Linked DNA regions of Rattus norvegicus. The protein of the gene in region 1 interacts with the protein of each later gene in a pairwise test. Links are inferred from orthologs where the notes say so. Each region holds a gene or a part of one and is shown on either strand. Other genes may lie near its edges.

Evidence for each region.
Region 2: the proteins of Rint1 (region 1) and Ccdc121rt1 interact in binary tests that used the Homo sapiens proteins (3 or more experiments, as listed by UniProt). The two-hybrid records come from large-scale screens. The link is inferred for Rattus norvegicus from reciprocal best matches to the Homo sapiens genes RINT1 and CCDC121.
Region 3: the proteins of Rint1 (region 1) and Sfr1 interact in binary tests that used the Homo sapiens proteins (3 or more experiments, as listed by UniProt). The two-hybrid records come from large-scale screens. The link is inferred for Rattus norvegicus from reciprocal best matches to the Homo sapiens genes RINT1 and SFR1.
Region 4: the proteins of Rint1 (region 1) and Sgf29 interact in binary tests that used the Homo sapiens proteins (3 or more experiments, as listed by UniProt). The two-hybrid records come from large-scale screens. The link is inferred for Rattus norvegicus from reciprocal best matches to the Homo sapiens genes RINT1 and SGF29.
Region 5: the proteins of Rint1 (region 1) and Fam110a interact in binary tests that used the Homo sapiens proteins (3 or more experiments, as listed by UniProt). The two-hybrid records come from large-scale screens. The link is inferred for Rattus norvegicus from reciprocal best matches to the Homo sapiens genes RINT1 and FAM110A.

The regions. Positions count from the first base shown.
Region 1 is NC_086022.1:12,224,118-12,227,617, reverse strand, and holds part of Rint1 (RAD50-interacting protein 1), read left to right. Parts: intron 1-292; coding exon 293-430; intron 431-2,565; coding exon 2,566-2,765; intron 2,766-3,500. UniProt on the Homo sapiens protein: Involved in regulation of membrane traffic between the Golgi and the endoplasmic reticulum (ER); the function is proposed to depend on its association in the NRZ complex which is believed to play a role in SNARE assembly at the ER.
Region 2 is NC_086031.1:95,784,968-95,788,622, forward strand, and holds Ccdc121rt1 (coiled-coil domain containing 121, retrotransposed), read right to left. Parts: upstream 2,169-3,655; 5' UTR 2,108-2,168; coding exon 1,136-2,107; 3' UTR 501-1,135; downstream 1-500.
Region 3 is NC_086019.1:256,559,336-256,563,332, reverse strand, and holds the start of Sfr1 (swi5-dependent recombination DNA repair protein 1 homolog), read right to left. Parts: upstream 2,801-3,997; 5' UTR 2,737-2,800; coding exon 2,724-2,736; intron 1,835-2,723; coding exon 1,665-1,834; intron 1,037-1,664; coding exon 644-1,036; intron 1-643. UniProt on the Homo sapiens protein: Component of the SWI5-SFR1 complex, a complex required for double-strand break repair via homologous recombination. Acts as a transcriptional modulator for ESR1.
Region 4 is NC_086019.1:190,667,744-190,671,827, forward strand, and holds the start of Sgf29 (SAGA-associated factor 29), read left to right. Parts: upstream 1-1,284; 5' UTR 1,285-1,449; intron 1,450-4,084. UniProt on the Homo sapiens protein: Chromatin reader component of some histone acetyltransferase (HAT) SAGA-type complexes like the TFTC-HAT, ATAC or STAGA complexes.
Region 5 is NC_086021.1:160,942,606-160,946,758, reverse strand, and holds the start of Fam110a (protein FAM110A), read left to right. Parts: upstream 1-1,353; 5' UTR 1,354-1,547; exon of another isoform or gene 1,548-3,797; intron 3,798-4,153.

The DNA.
Region 1 (3,500 bases):
TCCCACCACTGCCTGGGAATGTCTGGTTTTGGTGTGTGAGGTTTTGGAGTTTTGTCTTTCTTACAGGATGTACTGAATTACTTTCAAAGACAGTCCTCTCTCCACAAGACTTGTTTGTTTGTTTGTTTGGTGGGGTTTTTTGGTTTGTTTTGGTTTTGAATTACAGTCTACATGTTGGAATATGGAGCCAGTAGAAGATATTGATGGTTTGTAGAGTTCCTAAAAAAGTGTGAGTTGATAATTGAAGGAAGAAATAAGTCCTCGACTGACTTTTCTTTCTTTCTTCGTTTAGTTGCTCTTCAAAAAATGGACTCAATGCTTTCATCAGAAGCTGCCTGGGTATCCCAGTATAAAGACATCACCGATGTGGATGAAATGAAGGTCCCAGACTGTGCGGAAGTCTTTATGACCCTGCTTCTGGTTATAACTGGTAAGCACTGGCCTTTTAACATCCGACGCTAATTTAGAATTAAGTTTTTAAGCTGGGCAAGGGTGAACACACTTGCAACCTAGCATGTGAGGTGGAAGCAGGAGGATTGAGCTCAAGGCCAGTCTCAGTTCTAAAGTGACTTTGGTCAGCCTGGGATATATGAGACCCTGTCTCAGAAAACCCAAGCAAACGAATGAACAGCAGAAGTCTGCAGTGAGTTTGAGGCTGGTGGGGTCGCTCAGCAGATTCGAGCACTTGCTGTTCTTACAGAAGGCCGGGCCAGCTCCCCAGTCATAACCCACCCACTCCAGCTCTGGATCCAGGGGCCGCTTGGTCCCCTCAGGCACCTAGGACGCGTGAACATGAAAATAAACCTTAAACAGTAGTGCGCGCTACATGTACTCATATTTTTAGTAGTTAATAGACAGCCGTACAGTAACTTAAAACTCTACGACAGTCTCTCTTTCGACTGAGCCAGCTGTGGCAGCACTCACCTTTAATCCCAGCGCTCTGGAAGCACGGCTGGAGCATTTGTGGCTTTGAGATCATCCTGGTATATGGGTTCCCAGCCACCCTGATGTAAGATCTTGTTTCAAATACTAAAATAACAATAAGTATTAATAAATAGTACTAGTCATAATAATCAGGTCACCTAGACATACTGTGAGACCCTGTCTCCAAACAACAGCACCTTAAAATGTGAGCGTTGGTGTATACATGAAGGGGAACGTCCAGGACAAAAACAAATAAAAATGCGTTAATTTTTAACTCATTGTCATTCTTTTTTTTTTTCTTTTCTTTTTTTCGGAGCTGGGGACCGAACCCAGGACCTTGCGTGTCATTCTTGTTATAGGTTTTCAAGTTTCATTTTACTACTCTAATTTTACAGACTTATTTTTAGTTTATGTGTATGAGTGTGTGTCTGTGAATGTGTGTACACCACATGCATGCCTATTGCCAATGGAGGCCAGAAGAAGGTGTTGGAGCCCCTGAAACTGGAGTTACAGAGGGTCGTGAGCTGAGCCCCCTCCTCCCCAGCTCCTTTTACTTTAAGACTCTCAGCTTTATGTGTATTTTGCCTGCATTTTATCTGTACCACATACATTCCTAGTGCCTGTGTAGTTCAGAAGAGTGTTTGATCCCCTAGAGATGGGAATTACAGTACTGTAAGCTATCAATGTGGGTGCTGGGAACTGAACCAGCGATCTCTCCAATGGCAGGCAGTGCTCTTAACCTCTGAGCCATCTCTCAAGCGCCCACTTACTCTTCTTTGAGAGACGGTGTACTGTGTTGCCCAGCTGGCTTGAGCTCCTGTTCTGAGATGATCTTCCTGCCTTGGTTTTCCACATAGCTGGGACTAGGTACACACTACTATGTCTAGTGTTAACCCAAACCTTAAATAAATATCACTTTCTTAGCACTGGTTTATCAGGACTTGAAGAAGAGAGTGGAATGGTACAGTAGTTTTAGAATTGAGGTGACAGGGTCTCTTCTCGAGCCATGTGTGGAGTGTCCGCATTCCCTGCTGCAGACTGCTAGCTGTCCAGGGCCACAAGATCCCCAATGCTGCCACGCTGGGCCCTCATTGCTTCCCTCCTCCCCTGGCAATGCACTTCTTGAGCTTCATGATAACCTGAAGACCTTCACTCCTACCCAATCAGTAATTGCACATTTTGACTGTTAGAAAAATAAACACTTTTTTTAAAAAAGGATAGCCAGACATGGCAGTGCACATATTTAATCCCAAATATCAGGATTTTGGAGGTAAAGGCTGGAGGATCAGGAGTTCAGAGCTATTCATAGCCTCAGGAAATTTGAAGCCAGCCTGGGCTACATGAGACCTGTCTTAAGCCCTCCTCACCTACCAACACAGCTTCTTATTTAAGGCACAGTTATTTTAAAACACAGTTTGCTTTTTCAGAAACGAGGTATGATTTCTGTATGGCAATGTACACATCTGGATCTCGAGCATACTGTTGGCTGAGTCCTGACACGATGTTCCTGTGTGATTTCTTAAGATTTTGCAAACGGTCAGCTGGGTTTTGTCATAAAGGCCATAAGCAGAGATTTAGGGAAAACCAACTGTGATGAACAGTATCTAATCCCCTCCTGTATTTTGTCTACTTTCTCCACAGACAGGTATAAAAATCTCCCCACAGCCTCCCGGAAGCTGCAGTTCCTGGAGTTACAGAAGGACCTAGTGGATGATTTTAGGATCCGGTTGACACAGGTGATGAAGGAGGAGACTAGAGCGCCCCTGGGCTTTCGGTACTGTGCGATTCTCAACGCCGTGAACTATATCTCAACAGTGCTGGCTGACTGGGCTGACAACGTGGTGAGTTGTGTGCTTTTGTAGGAAATGATGTATCAGTGCCTTGGTCTCCATAATATATCAGTGCCTTGATCTCCATAATACATCAGTGCCTTGGTCTCCATAATACGTCAGTGCCTTGATCTCCATAATATATCAATGCCTTGATCTCCATAATATATCAGTGCCTTGATCTCCATAATACATCAGTGCCTTGATCTCCATAATATAGCAGTGCCTTGGTCTCCATAATACGTCAGTGCCTTGGTCTTCATAATATGTCAGTGCCTTGGTCTCCATAATATAGCAGTGCCTTGGTCTCCATAATATAGCAGTGCCTTGGTCTCCCTAATACATCAGTGCCTTGGTCTCCATAATATAGCAGTGCCTTGGTCTCCCTAATACGTCAGTGCCTTGGTCTCCATAATATAGCAGTGCCTTGGTCTCCATAATACGTCAGTGCCTTGGTCTTCATAATATGTCAGTGCCTTGGTCTCCATAATACATCAGTGCCTTGGTCTCCCTAATACATCAGTGCCTTGGTCTCCATAATATAGCAGTGCCTTGGTCTCCATAATACGTCAGTGCCTTGATCTCCATAATATATCAGTGCCTTGGTCTCCATAATATATCAGTGCCTTGATCTCCATAATACATCAGTGCCTTGGTCTCCCTAATACATCAGTGCCTTGGTCTCCCTAATACATCAGTGCCTTGGTCTTCATAATATATCAGTGCCTTGATCTCCATAATATGTCA
Region 2 (3,655 bases), on another chromosome or scaffold:
GGCAAAGTAGGGGGCCTGGATTGGCACCGTGGCAACTCCCCTTACCCAGGCTTCCCTCCCTACCTTTCAGTTATCTGTGTTCAGTTTCAGTCCAAAATCAAATGGAAAATTCTGGAAAGAAACGATTCGCATATTTCATGTGTCTGAGTAGTGTGGTGAGACCTTGTACCATCACATAAGGGTCACAAATCATCCTTGCCCAGAGCGTCCATGTTTTATACACTACCCACCCGTTAGCCACTGACGTAGTGGCCTCACCCCGAGTCATGGTGCTTATGTTATTGGCCTGCTGTACCTCATCACATGCTTGTTCTATCACTTCAAAAGGGTGGCAGTAGTATAATAAAACATTGAGGGATATAGTATTTTTGTTGTACTTATAAATCTGGAGGGGTATTAAGAACTAATTACAGGTAAATTTTGTTTTAACAACACTGTTTAACTGTAAAGTATATGTATTCACCAGCAATGCTAAAAGATGATGATGGTGATAAGGCACATTGAAAAGCTAAGTCACCTTTTAATCCTATTTAAAAAGAACCTATTTTACATATAAAAAAAGCAGAAAATTCTGAAGAGTGCCCTCGAAGTTTTCATTACCAATAATTTCTGAGAAACGTGAAGCTGGCTATGTCTTTTCCCTATGCAGGGGCATCACCCAAATACAAGACCATTCTTCCAGACCAGAACCCACAGTTCAACAAAACAGTCCACCATAAATGCAAACGTGCGACCCTTCTAAACAAACAAAAACCCTACAATTTAAGATTCCTATTTGCTTCATATGGCCCAAAATACATAGAATGTACAGGTTATACACCGTACTTTGTGGACTGCAGAGTACACACTAAGAAAAAAATAAGCGTGGTAAAAATATATGCCCTAAGTGGGTAATCTGAGGATTTCAAATGCTACTATAAAAGTGGGTGGTGTAACCCATTACAAAATTTCCAACTGTTCTAAATCTCTGAGTGTACGCAGCCCCAGGGACACGGACAGCCACGACCTGGGTCCCAGGCTAGGAGCACAGCCCATGCTGCGTCAACCGCCCTTCGTGCAAGCGTTTCTAGTCTCCACGAAGGATACTTTCTGGATTGTAGTTATTCCCTGTGCTCCAGTTCAGTTGTAGTAGCTCTTACTTTAAACTTGTTTTTGATTTGGTGCTCAGCATGGTCTTTGAAGTTCTCTGTTCCTTGAGGCACGGGTTGTGACGACGGTGATGGCGTTCGCGTTCTGCCTGCAGCCGCTGCCGCCCTCTGGTCAAGGCTTCTAGGTACCACCGCTGCTCTTTCATCAGCCTCCGGTGCTTTTCCAGCTGATTCCTCACAGCTTCCACCCTGCGGTACTCCTGGCTCAGTTGCTGAAGCTCCTTGCGTAGCTGCTGGTTCTCCCTGTGGAGGCTGCCACAGAACTCAGAATGAGCCTGCTTGGCTGCTAGAGCCAAGGCCTTGTACTTCCTCGTAAGCCCCGTGGTGTTGATCTGCCCCAGCTCCATCAGGTGCAGGTCTTCCAGCTCCTTCTCCATCAATGCCTTTTCCTGCAGGAACCGGAAGTGTGCCTTCTGGTCCTTGGCCGCAGTCTCACCTCGGACTTTCTCTTGCTCCTGCTCCAAGCTCTGTATTTTCATGTCCTGGCCCTCCTTTACTTTGTAAATTGGCTTCAGGGCCTGCAACTGCTGCTTCAAATCCTTCTGGGTCTTTCTGCCCTGCAGGAGCTGGGCTTGAAGAGCTGCATTTCTCTGGTTGTATCTGGACGCCAATTCTTGCCTCTCTCGTTCTATCTCGCCACATTCTTGGATGTACTGCTTCCACAGCTCCTCCTGTTTCTTTTCACACTGTTCCTTATTTTTACGCAAGTATTCCGTGAAAAGCTGGTTTTCGGCCTGCACGCGGTATTTTTCTTCTAGTAGCTGCCTGCTGTCCGTCAGCAGCCTTTCCCGCCGGCATTTAGTTTCTTGGATTTGCTGGCTCAGCTCCTTCAGCTCCACCACTGTCTTCCTCTTTACCCGTTTCTCCAACCTCGTTAGCAATTTTGGCTTGAGATACGTATTTAGAATAGTAAGGTATGGTGTTGGTGGGGGTGCACCTTTAGGGCTCTGGGCAAGCATGTTCCCAGAATCCCCAGGTCAAGGAAAGTGACTGCCAGGGAGCAAGGCGGTTTGTTACTTCAGGGTACAGCGTCCTGAGCCAATGTTCCCAAGGTTTCTCCCTCTGGTGGTCAAGGCGACCAAGCTACACCCAGCCTGCCAGGAAGTCGCAGAGCTCACTTAGAGTAGCCTCAGAGGCTGTCCAGGGCTGGCCTTGATCTCCGAGTTTTCACTAGGAGCCCAGAGCTCCTGTTCCAAGCTGGCGAGCCCTGTCCTGGGGAGCCCTCTGGTCTTGCTCTCCTGGGACCTGTGCTTTGCCTCCTCATACCCTGTCCACAGGTCAGCGTGCCCTTCTGTTCTCTGCACACTAGCAGACGTATAGCCAGACTCATCTCTGCAGTGCTGGGGGTATGGGTCTGCAGGATAAATGGCGAGACCTAGGGCTGGGGAGGGTTGTTTGCAGATCCTTGAGTTCCCTGTGTGTTGTTGAGAAAGGCAGCATTGTGGGACTTTGTACATGAGCCGTAGGGAGCACAGAAGAGACTGTGACAGGCAGAAGGCCAGGAAGAAAGGGAGGAGGTTTCTGAAGACTGGAGTGCCCTTAACTCTAATTCCTTCACGGCACCTTGGTCTAGTAGGCTCCCCCAAGTGCATCCTTGGGGCACTTTGGGTACTACTGACCGTGGAGTGGCACCCCTGATAGTGAGTTGAAGGCAAAATTGCTGGGTTCTTGAAATCTGGAGCCTATAAGTAACTGGAAATGCCTGCATCTTATGTCTAGGATAAAGAGTTGTGTGACTTTGGGCAACTTGTTTAACTGAGGTGCGTATCTCCCTTGACACTTGGGATTTTGACCTGTCAGCTTCACAATGCTACCATACATTACTTCATCTGATCTTTCCAAAAATGTTAGGTGGAGAGTACATGCATTATTTCCCCCACTTTAGCTATGAAAGAAACCCCACAAAACACAGATACTAATCCCCAAAGACCACATCCTAGGGTAAAGAAAGAATAAGAATCAAAGCTTCTTGGGTTAGGGTAGGTAAGTTTCAATCTACTCTATTTCTCTCAAAATAGTTACTGAGGAAGTCCTGCCCCATTTTTATTACTTGAAAGGCTTTTAATTTTTTTTACAAGACTTTAAGTTAGACATTATTGTCATGATATGTAAAGCAACTTGTCCAAGGTCCTACAGACTTACTAGAAAGTTTACCTGTCTTCTCATGCAACAAATGGGCAGACACCCATTTTGTGGGTCAGCTGGGGTATACTGCTGAGTACACCTAGAACTTCTGAGATTGTTTTCACCCTTCCTTATCTCATGCCTAACTCTTCATTGTGTTGTGGCTGTGTGTGTGTGTGTGTGTGTGTGTGTGTGTGGTGTGTAGTGTGTGTGTGCAGTATGAGTGTGTGTGCAGTATAAGTGTGCAGTATGTGTGCTGTATGTGTAGTATGTATGTATGCAGTATGTGTGCAATGTGTGTGCAGTATGTGTGTTCAGTGTGTATACAGTATGTATGCAGTGTATGTATGTGCAATATGTATGTGTATAGTGTATGTGCAGTG
Region 3 (3,997 bases), on another chromosome or scaffold:
AACATATTCAAGCTTAAAGCATTTTCAACATTTAGCATCAGTTACATTTAGAAAAGTCCTAAAAGTTCAAAACCACATATAAGATACGCTATTGTCATTTACTCCACATTTTGGGGATAGAACGAGGTGATCTGTGGGTAAGAGCAGCAGCGATGTCTCCTCCTTCCAAACATCCATGTTCTATTTTACTCAACATGTGTGAGCTGAAACCTAAAATCTGTGTTTTCTCAAATAAAATGCCTGACATTTTATCAGACACATGATCGTTACGGAAAGTGCAGCACCCAGCATTCTGTGGTGTGTTTTTAGTTCTAGCGACATCCCTTTCTGTTCCCACTGCACCTCCATCCAACACCTCACACTTCTAATCTTGCTCCTGGCTAGAAATTAGAGCCCACAAGCTTCATCTGTGCATTAAACAAGAGCTGAAGCTTTGAAGCTTTTAAGTTCTACCTCGTGTTGAAGGGGCTTATCTGCCTCATTCTGAACCAGTTATTTCTAATTCAGTCAAAGCTCTTGGTGTAACTAACTCAGGTTTCTGGGTTTTTCGGCTTCTTGTTTATCAGACTAAAATTTATTTCCAATTTCTGAATTTACAGCAATTTATGTAAAAATGGTTCAATGGTTCTGAAATTCTTCTCACCTTTATTCTGTACATTTTGACTAACTTTAACCTCCGAAGAAGGTCTTCCTTCTCTTGAACCTGCCTAGTCAGTTTTGCTTTTTCTTCCTTCAAAGTTTGCTTTATAGTCTTCTCAGTAGAATCTTTTTGGAGGACACTGGATGACCCAGTATCAAGTGACTTAGATTCACTCGTATTTTTATCCTCTGAGCTCTCTTTTTCAGGTTCATTGTCTTTGTTTTCCAGGCTTTCTTGGGCTTTTGAACAGTTTTCTTCTTTTGAAGATTCTCCTGGTTCTGAAAGGGTCTGATCATTTTCTTCATTCTCTACCTTAATACGCTTCACCACACTACAAAAAGGTTGAGATGAAGCTCTTGCTTTCTTTAATCTTTCTTTAAGTGTCCCACTCATAGGCTGAAAAAGACACAAAACATCAAATGTTAAGAATATATTCTTGGGGCTGGGGATTTAGCTCAGTGGTAGAGCGCTTACCTAGGAAACACAAGGCCCTGGGTTCGGTCCCCAGCTCCGAAAAAAAGAACCAAAAAAAAAAAAAAAAAAAAAAAAAAAAAGAATATATTCTTGAAGTACATCAATGTATTCGAAACAAAGTCTGTACGCTTCTATGGTAGGTACAATGGGTTGCTTTTGGTCTCCAAAAACCTCAAGTGGGCATCACCAATGTATCTAAGTTCCAGAGGCTACCTTTAGTCTTGCTTTAGCAAGGTTACCGTCATTGGCAGCTAGTATTTGCCTGACAATACTAGAAACAGAAATGTCTCAGAACTATAAACTAAGGAGAAGACCTGCTACCAAAGACTTCCCCCTGAAATACGGTACAGATATGTTTCCTTGGTTTGGAGCATCTCAGTAACCTGGTAAGAAATTAAACGAAATGAACTGATTCAAGAAGAAAATCTGGCAGTTAGCAAGGTATGGGCTATATATTAACTCACACTCCAGTATCCTTAGAACTGCCACTATTGGAATACTTTGAAACACAGGACAGATGGGGGTAAAGGACAACACAAAATTTTCATACTTGTTTTCCTGAACTATTCGAATGGAGTGATGGTGGATTTTCACTGGTCTGAGGCTTGTCAGGTGAGGTTGGGGGTGATGGTGGATTCTCACTGGTCTGAGGAATGTCAGGTGAAGTGGATGCTGAATCTGAGGGGTTTTCCATCTTGGAAGTGATCTCCTGATTTCCTTCTAGAAAGGGAAAGACACGAGAATGATAAATTAATTATCTCAAAACAGACCTCAATTTTTTCAACAAAATTTTCTTCAGTGAACTAAACACCAAAAAAGTCAGCAATTTCTTCCAATTATTTGTACCTGTAATTTATTCTAATTCTTTTCATATTCTTTCCATTTACTTCTCCACATGGGGAGTAACCAAATTTTGTTTCTTTCACGACAAATAAACCGGCTAGTATCTTATTGACACTCATTTTTCTCCTTCAAAACATCTCCAAAAATTTGGATTTCGGGGAAGGGAACTAACTCTACGTAGTCAAGAATTTTAATCTTTGTTATAATTTCGTAAATAAAAGCGATACAGTCCGAATCTTGAATCCTAAAAGCTTTGTGCCTAGAAGAATGAGTCCCAAGGAGCCAGAAAGCAGCGTCGGCCCCTTTTGGTTTTCTAGGGTCAGGGCCTCTGCCTTCCTCCCCCGCCCTATCTTTTCCACCAAGCCCCGCCTTCTCCGCCCCGCCCCCTCCGCCCCGCCCCTCACCCCCCACCACAGAAAGCCCTCCCCCCTCATTCTCCCTTCTCTACTCCCTCCCCCGCACCCTCCCCTCACCCTCCCACCACAGAAAGCCATCCCCCCTCATTCTCCCTTCTCTACTCCCTCCCCCGCCCCCTCACCACAGAAAGCGCTCTCCCGCTGCTCCCTCCCGCGCTCTTTTTTCTAAGCCCAGTCCCCCTCCTTCTCCTCTCCCTCCCCCTCTCCTCCACCTCCCTCACCATAGAAAGCCCTCTACCCTACAGAGCAGGAAGTCGAGCCCCCGCGACGCCGGGAAGAGCTTCTCTATCAGATATGCAGACACCCGCAGGCCTGACGCGCAGACCAGCCCCAGGGAGAAAGCTCAATACCTTCCTCAGCCATGCTCACAGCAGACACAGCGTACACAACCAGCGTAGCGCCCGGAGTACACTGACCTCGCCCCGGGGGCGGAGCCCCACCGGAGGAGAGACGTGCGATTGGCTAGCTTGACCGTAGCGGGCGGATGTGCTTTGTCCAATTCCGACTACGCGTGCGCGTAGGCCCACGAGCCTCAGCCACGGGGCGGGGCGGGACCAGGGGGGAGGCGGGCGCGGCTCGTGATTGGCAGGACTGGCCGGCGCGCTCCAGGGCTCGGCCACGCGCGCAAGGCCGCCAGGCTAAGGGTGGCTTCCAAGGCAAAAAATAGTGTCAGGCCTTTGGACGGGCCTGAGGGGGGCGCGCTTCCGCTCGCCACTTCCTACGAGGGTTGCTGTGCCAGCCGCCTTCCCAAGCAGCTTCCCTTGGGGGAAGGGAGAGGGGTGCATCCTCTGGGTAATGGGCCTGAGAGCACCGCCCCCGCGCGCCCGCCCCCTGGCAGTCTCCGCTTTCACAACAGCAGAGGCTTTTCCTCAGACGTGGCAGGACCGGAAGCCGCGGGGCCCGTTTGGCTCCCTGCTGGCGAACGCTTCCTTAGCCTTTTGTGGTCTGTTTGGAAGCCAGCTTGATAGGAATCTATCCCGGCGTCTCTGCACGTGCAGTAGAGAGCATCTCCAGCTTGCTTTGCAGTCTCGCCCCTTTATTTTGGTCTATGCCCACTGGCTTCACTTGTTTTGGTCCAATCTGAGAAAATGTAACCTAAGGAAGTGTATTATGGCGCAGGACAGGAAGCGGGACTGTCGATCCGATCGGGTCGGTCTAGCATCCAGAAGTTTGAGAACTAGATCCCGGGGTGCCCCTAGGAGGCCCCTTGCTAGACGCTGGGGAGCCCCTGGGAGGCCCCTTGCTAGACCCTGGCTCGACTCCTGGGAGGCCCCTAAGAGGCCCCTTGCTAGACCCTGGCTCGACTCCTGGGAGGCCCCTAGGAGGCCCCTTGCTAGACGCTGGGGAGCCCCTGGGAGGCCTCTGGCTAGACCCTGAGAGGCTGCAACGCCTTCTGGTGTTAGGGATGTTCTGTTGCTATGCAACAGCAAAGTGAACTAGCTTGGGTGGAGCACTGGGTGTAGAGAAGTCAGCTGAGTAACCTGTGAGTCACTGGGAAGTTTGTGAGAGAGGACAAATCTCTTTCCGAATATCTGCTAATGGTGGCTTTAAAGTAATCCGAAAGAAGTGGTCGGAATCCTACGCAGTCAGTTATAAATACAGAACCTAACGAAACTTTTGGAGG
Region 4 (4,084 bases), on another chromosome or scaffold:
CTCAGCATTTCCCAAGCCATATATATATATATTTAAAATTTTCCTTGTTAGTCTGGGTGCTAAAATAGTTTGTGTTAAAATTTAAGGGGCTGGGGATTTAGCTCAGCGGTAGAGCGCTTACCTAGGAAGCGCAAGGCTCTGGGTTCGGTCCCCAGCTCCGAAAAAAAGAACCAAAAAAAAAAAAATTTAAGGTTTGCTAATAGAAAAATATCTGATAGCTTGTTGTGTGCCAGACACAGTGCTATATACTGGGAATGTCTAAAGATCTTGACCTTATAGCATTTGTAATTCTATCAGAGAATAACAATATGTGATTATAGGCTTTAAAAGACTTTCAAAACTAATTTTTGTTCTATGTATAGGTGTATATGTATCCATGCAGTCCCCTCTGAGGCCAGAAGAGGGCATCAGATGCCTTGGAGCTAGAGTTAGAGGCAGTCTGAGCCAGCTGATGTGAGTACTGGCATTCTAATTCTGGTGATCTTTCATTTATTTATTTTAAGGTATGAGTACACTGTCACTCTCTTCAAAGACACCAGAAGAGGGCATCAGATCCCATTACAGATGGTTGTGACACACCATGTGGTTGCTGGGAATTGAACTCAGGACCTCTGGAAGAGCAGTCAATGTTCTTAACCACTGAGCCATCTCTCCAGCCCGCAGCAAGTATTCTTAACCACCAAACCATATTGACTTTTTAGGTGTTATGTATGATACATTAGGATAGATAGTTGGAGTGGAAGTAGTCCCTAGGGATTGAGACCAGAACCATGCTAAGCAAGTGTCCTACCACTGCATTAACTGCCCAATCCACAAAGTAGGCATCCAAAGAATACCTTTATAGCTAAATGTTTGCATGTCCATATTTTTTATTTGCTGGGAAGATTCTGTAAATTATGAGTTCTAAACCTAAGACTGCTTATTTGGAATTTAAAAGTATTTTTAGATAAATTTTAAATTCACAGCAAACTTTAGCTTAAAGTACAGAATTCTCATATGCTTCCTGGGGGCCCTCCTTCCCTATCCCCAATAATCTGAAGTGGTTTTGTTGTTTTCTTCTGGTGCTAAGGATCCGATCCCATCACTTCCCACATGTTAGGCGAGGCTTCACACATGCTTTTCTGGTCCTTTGATTTATATGAAAGTTTTCGAGGGACATAAAAAACAAACAAGAACTCTGACCTAATAAATTGAGTACATCAAGGCACAAGTATCGAAGAACTACGTTTCCCAGGGTGCAATGCAGCACGTCACAGAGAAGTACCCGGCATGCGCAGAGGAGTCCTCCGCGCTCGACCGCGCTCATAAGAGAAACAGCGTGTGTGGTTCTTGACGTGCCGCGAACCTTCGAACGTAAGTGCGGGACTATCGTGTGAGGAAACGTTCCAGTGATTCGCTCTTCCCGCCATCGCAGTTACCAGCGCGACGTGCTGTTTTTCCCTGGGCTCGGTAGGTGGGACGGGGCCATGGCAAGGTACCTCCACGCAGCGCGGGAACGAAAGGCCAGCGTTCCTGCCCGGCGCCCGGCTCTCTGAGGCGGCTTCTGCGGAAACGCGCACGCGCCCTGGACGGGGAAGGGGGCGGGCTGTGGGAGCCGGCGCCCTGGGGTTTGCGCGTGCGCCCTACATCTCTGGAGAGGTGGGAAGCCGCTGGAGCTGACTAGTCTAGAGGCCGGCACCTGGTGAGGTCCTTGGTCCCAGACATCAGCACAGTTTACTACTTTCTTATTGAGAGGGACACTGTAGCCCAGCCTGGCCGTGAGATCGCAGTCCTCCCTCAATCCCAAGTGCTGAGATTACAGACTCCACAGCCCTAAAGGTGTCCATTTTCACAACAGTAACTTCATCCACTCTGTAGCTCACTCATCTGTCGGCTGACACATGTATCCTAGGACGTCTGCGTCTACTCATTAGCACATTCACCTGCCTCTCTAGGGAGGCCTTGTCTCATGCTGTCTCACAGAAACAGCTCTGTCAAAGCCGCCTTGAGTTCTGGATTCCCAAGTTCAGTGATAATGGCTTGGTAGCATCCTCTTTCATTGCCTCGGTCCTCTCTTAACCTAAAGAACTCTTGCTTCCATTTCTTCATCTTTAATGCTCGTACCTTCAGAATACATAAACCCTAATCTTGCCTTTTTTCTGTTCACTCCCTGGGCATTGTCTATTTCACACTTTAAATAAATAAAATTTATTTTGGTGCACTCAACTTTCTTTTTTTTTTTTTTTTTTTTTTTTACATATTTTTAATAATTTTATATAGGTTCACTGGTGCTGTCTTCAGACACACCAGAAGAGGGCATCAGATCCCATTGCAGATGGTTGTGAGCCACTCTGTGGTTGCTGGGAATTGAACTCAGGACCTCTGGAAGAGCAGTCAGTGCTCTTAACCACTGAGCCATCTCTCCAGCCCTTGTTTTTTTTTTTTTTTTTTTTTTTAGAGACAAAGTTTCTCTGTCTAGCCCTGGTTGTCCTGGAACTCACTCTGTAGACCAAGCTGGCCTTGAAGTCAGAGATCCAGCTGCCTCCGCCTCCCAAGTACTGGTATTAGTGTGCAACCACTGCCAGCTTCCCCGGGTGATTTAGATGTCAAGTTAAAACTAGCCGTCATGTGCTTCAGTGCTTTTTCATCCCGAGAGTAAATACATGGGATGTGTGCATTGCATGCTGAAGGGGGTGCACTGGGAGCAATGCACTGGGAGGTGTTTATCCTAAGACAGGACACGGTGCTCTTACACAGCTTAGATTATCAGCCTACTACACACCAAGTCCACATGGCATAGCCTGCCACTCCATATGTAGCATGTTACTACAGCAAATACTATAAAGGTGGTTTCCACAAAATGAAAAGTATTTGAGTATCTATACAGAAACAGTTCAGTAAAATACTAGGTGAGGGCCAGTGAAGAGGCTCAGAGGGTAAAGGAAGTTGTCACTAAGCATGACAACCTAAGCATGACCCATGTGGTAAGAAGAAAACCAGTAAACACTGTGGCATATGTACACCCATACTCAATAAATAAATGTTTAATAAGAAATAATGGGGTGATGAAAGTGTTTTGGGTTTATAATCTCATACATCTTTTTGAGCATTATAATCTCATGGGACTACATCATGTTCAATCTTTTTTTTTTTTCTGATGTATTCTTTGGCATGTGGCTCTATTTGTTTAATATGTGTCCATTCTGCATTGTCCTTTCACTACTGCATATCCCTTATGTCTTAGGTAATTAGTAAATGCTGCTGAATGGAATTATGAAAGGGCATAATTTCTCTTTTCTGCATGGGGGAAGTAGGTAGTCTCTCACGGAAGATGTTAGTACTTAACATGGAGACAGAGGAGACCTTGAGTAGCTCAGCTTCAAACCCGTTTCAGTGTTCTAAGTTGAAAGACTGCTTGAAGGGTGTTCAGGACTCAGCTCCATTCAGCAACCTGATTTGACAGCAGTATGTGCCAAGGCCCGGCAGAACAGAAAGATATCTAGAGTAGCAGCCTGTATGCTCCATGCTTGTCATCTGGTAGGAGAGCTGTCAGTGAAGCAGTTCATCATTTACATGAGTGACAGGTGCAAGAACAGAAGTTTACTGTGAAGACTGAGGCTGGAGAAATGTGAGTTCAGTGTCAGCCTGAACTGCACAGTGAGACCCTGCCCCTAAAGCAATAAAAGAAGCTTGGTATGGTGGCACGCACCTTTTAATCCCAGCACGGGGGAAGCAGAGGCAGATGAATCTCTGGGAGTTCCAGGTGTAAATTCCAGGGCAGTTTGAGTTGCATACTAAGACTGTGTCTCAAAACAACAATAAAAACATAACAAAACAAGAATAAAGTTTAAATGCAGTGCTTAGGCACTTTCCTGAAGTTGTGATTGGCCATAGACGAGGGCAAATGGAGGAGCCTGTGGCTGTTTGGGAGCTGTGTTGTCCTCCCCCAGCTTCATATGTAAATATCATGTTCTTGGGTTGCAATGTTGATAAGCTCAACTTGTTGAATTTTTTTTTTAATTTTTAAATTTTTATTTTTTGAGACAGGTTTCTCTCTATGTATAGCCCTGCCTGTCCTGGAACTTGTTCTGTAAACTAGGCTGTA
Region 5 (4,153 bases), on another chromosome or scaffold:
CTTACCGGTGCTGCAGGGCCACTGTGCTTGTGAACCACAGCAGCTGTGGTTGTCTGCACAAGATCAAGCCAGTTAACATTGCAGCACAGAGACGGGAGAGGCTTATGAGCCCCTACCCTGAACTGAGGAGCTAGGAACAGCTGAATGTTTCTGGAGAAAAGAAAGTCCGTGTTTTTACAAGGTTGCAGCCCTTGACCGTTTGATCATGGTTCAGTGGATGGCCCTACTGCCACGAATAGATGGGCAGATTAGACTCGGTGGCGTATAAAAAAACAAAAAAGGAGGAAGTGAGGGTGGATGTAGGAGTTAAGGGGAGGAGGGTAAAGTAAATATGATTAAAATACATTGTGTGTGTGTATGAAATTCTCAAAGATGAATAAAAGTATAATTTAAATGTAAAAATTAGTTGGTGTTATTGTAAATGGGATAGGTTTATTACATGAAGAGCATGGTTATATATTATCTATTTGTGTTGTACGGAGTGATTTGAACTGTGTTTAAAACATGACACTTCCTTAACATTCTTCCATTGTTCTTAAATGTTATTTAACCGCATCGTTGTAAGTTACTGTATAATATTTCCAACTGGAAAGTTCAGACAATTGAAGGTAGGTACCTCGGAGCTAGGTCATGAGTACTGAGAAGAATTATGTAGAAAACTCAATTCAGCTTCTTCCCAGGACGGACTTCTATACTATAACTGATCTGGTTTTGATAAGCACCGTGGGAACTACTGATGTGTGCATTTAAAAACTGATTTATCATTGCAGTTAGGGGAACAGACAGGGAAAGAGGATTGTGGGAAAACACACAAAGAGGTAGCTGCTGAGTTGGGAGTAGGGTCCAGCTTGGTGGCTGGGCATTTAATACCAACTCATGGGTAGATGTACTGAGGCAGGCAGATATAGCAAATTTGAGACAAAAGCATGAATTTAAGGTCAGCCTGGGCAACTTAGTGAGACCCTGTCTCAAAAAGAAAAAAAAGTGAAGAGAGGGTCAGGTGTGGTATAGACCTAAAATCCTAGTATCACGGAGGCTGCGGCCAGTTATGTGTCAAGGCCCTGCCTCAAAACTCAAAAATGTTGGTACTAGGGTCTGTGCAAAACCAAACAAATTTGGGACTAGCAACCCTTGCTTGCAGCTGGAGACCGAGGAAATCCAGCTGGAAGAGGAGAAGAAAGATCTGCCAAGGCCTGGGCAGCCGGAAGGCCGAGCGACCAGCTGGGCTCAGGGCAGCAGCCGCTGGGTTGCATCTGCCGCTCCTGATGTTGCCTGGCAACCCGGCTGGCGCGCCGTTCGAACGGAAGCGACCGGCCAATCAGGAAGTCCGGGGCGAACCATTGCAGCGACGGGGACGGCGGGCTCACTTCCCTTTCCTCTGGGCCCTGGGGACGGTCTCCCGGCGGGATTGTGGGACGGCCGGGACCTCTCGCTCGGAAGAGCCGACCGGTCTCCACACGCTGTGACCTCCTCAGGTCCGCGGGGACCATCAGCTGTCAGCCTCTGCAGCCAGCGAGGAGCGGGATTCCTCCGGGCGTGGGCTGCGGGTGAGCATGGGGTAAGGGGGCGGGGGTCCTTAGGCAGTGTCCACGCATCAACCCGGGCAAGTGTTTCAGCATAGGGGGTCGACAGAGGAGAGCTCATGTCTAGTGTCCAGCCCAGGGGGGCCAGCAGAGAATCCAGGTTGTTCCACTGTCCCATCTTGCAGCCCCCGCTCCTAGCAAATCAGAGTACCCCACCGGCTTACTCTTTCAGGGGCCTATTGGGAGGACATGGCTCAGGGGATCTCCTGACTAGGCAACCCTGCCCTACCGGCCCTTGGAGTTCCCCTTCAGAATATAGTCTTTCCCTCCCCATTGGAAGCTTTCTGCCTAAAGAGTCTGGAGTTCCAGGGCTTCCCGCTTTGAGGGCCCTCCTTGGGGGGAAGGGGCGGGGCAGGGTGGATTCCCTAGGACTACAGATCCAAAGGCTCTGGAAGTCATGTGGGTCTGTGCGCGCCCGCCCGCCTGCGCTTGTATGCATTGGAGGTGCCTCTAAGCCAGAGTTGCTGGAATTGGACTTTAGAGTTGGGTGCAGGGTCAGGCCCTCCCAAGTGGAGCATCTAATTTAGGCTGTACTTTTATCTACTCTCCTGCTGTTGATCTTCTTTCGTAGGTGGGGAATCTGAGGTTCTGAGAAGTTGAGGCTCTTGCTCAAAGTCACAGACTTAACTATGCAATCGTCTTCAGTTCTTGATACAGGGAATCGCCCATTCGATGAAGGATCTCTCCTGAGGGGAACTACCCTTTCTCTGAGCCTCATTCTGGCCCTGGAGGAGCTGTGTTTGTCCATCTGTGTTTGTCCATCTGTGTTTGTGTCATGCTCCCCACCCTAACTTTTGTATGGCCCTAGCTGGCCTCATTCTTACTATTTATACCAGGCTGGTCTTGAACTCTCCATCTTCCTAAATCAGCGTCCTCTGATGACAAGCGTGTGCCACCTGCACACCAGTTTTATGCCTTTTCAGGATAGAACCCAGGGCTTGGTTTCTGCTAAGCGAGCGTCTACTAGATGAGTTATACCGCTGCCTCATTTCTTTCCACATCGTCAAGCTTCCTGTAGCCTGGTCCCTCCCTGAGTGTCCTGCTTTTCTCAGTAGCGTCTGTTCCATATTATGCACGAGGTATCTTATTAGGCGGTTTATTATCTTCCCCAGTGGAATGTGTCAGGCACGTGAGATGCTTAACACGGGCACAAATTATCAGGGTGCCCCAAACTTGCAGACTCAAGATGATCAAAGCCAACATCTGTTGGCCATTTGGTGTGTATTGTACTGGGGGGGGGGGTGGAGCAGGATAGGGTGGTGTCACTCAGGTGGACTCTGGCCAGCAGAGCCAGCATAGGCACTGTTAATACACACACACACACACACACACACACACACACACACACACACACACACACACTCACTCCCCCATCCAGCTACCTCACTCTATGCAAAATGACAGGTGCTGTGGACAGACACAGAGTGGCCATCAGTAGGGACTGATGGGAAATAATCAGAAACTCCTTAGATACTCATGCGGCACCAAGAGGAACGTGGATTACTGAGCAAAGGGTCTGGGTGGGAATTATATACACAGCACGATGGGCATCGCAGTCAATCCTAATCGTGGACTGTGGGTCAACTAATTGAGAAGCCACAGACAGTGATTACATTTGCAGAAAGTTATGAGGTCACTGCCCTACCTGTGGTTTGTCATTGGCTTTGTGAGTTTGGGCAAGTTTCTTCACATTCTGAGCTGTGAGTTCAAGCCAAGGCAGAAGGCACTGTAGGACAGGAAGTGGGTGTGGCCACAGGCCTAATTCAAGCCTCACCTTCCCTTCAGTGTCAGGCCCTTCCCTAAGGCCTTGTTTGTTAGTCTTTCTCCCTCTCTCCCTCTCTCCTTCACTGCAAGTCTGCCTTTGTTCCCATCTTGTCAGGGTGCAAACTGAGCCCCAGACTTTGTTAGTGGAGAGTGTTTGGGGGAAGGATTCATGCAGGAGCTCACTGTCCTAGGCATCCCTGCCCCTCCCATGGCGGCCCACTTGTAACTCTCTTCCTGAGATTTGTGCAAAGCTACTCTGAGCAAGGCTGACTCCTGGGCAGGCCAGGGCATGAGCCTGGTGAAAACTCCAGAAATAGCTTGGAACCTGGCCTGCCCTGGAGAATGCCCGGTCGGGTGTCTGACCTGGACAGCTGTGTTGGCTCTTCCCCACTGTCCGGAACCTTCTTGATCCTCTTCTGCAGCAGCCAGAGGCCTCCCTGGCTACCAAACCTGAGCCAGGACAGAAAAGCAGGTGGGGCGGATAAACTATCATAAAATGATCAACCCTAGAAATCTACTGGGAAGAGGGGACACACAACTGCCTGGGCTTGGAACCCTTGTCCCGGGCTGAGAACTTTACCAGTGTGAGCTCTGATTTCCCTCCACTCTGCGAAATGAGGGATTTCTGCTTTTATTTCATGGATACATATGCTACAGCAGGCACTCGAGAAGACACTTAGAGGAGTCAGTTCTCCCATTCCACTGTGGGGCCAGGGGACTGAACTCGGATCACTAGGCTTGCATGGCAAGTACTTTTACCCCAAGTCATCTCCCTCGCCCTAACTTTACCAGTCATTTCCCACTCT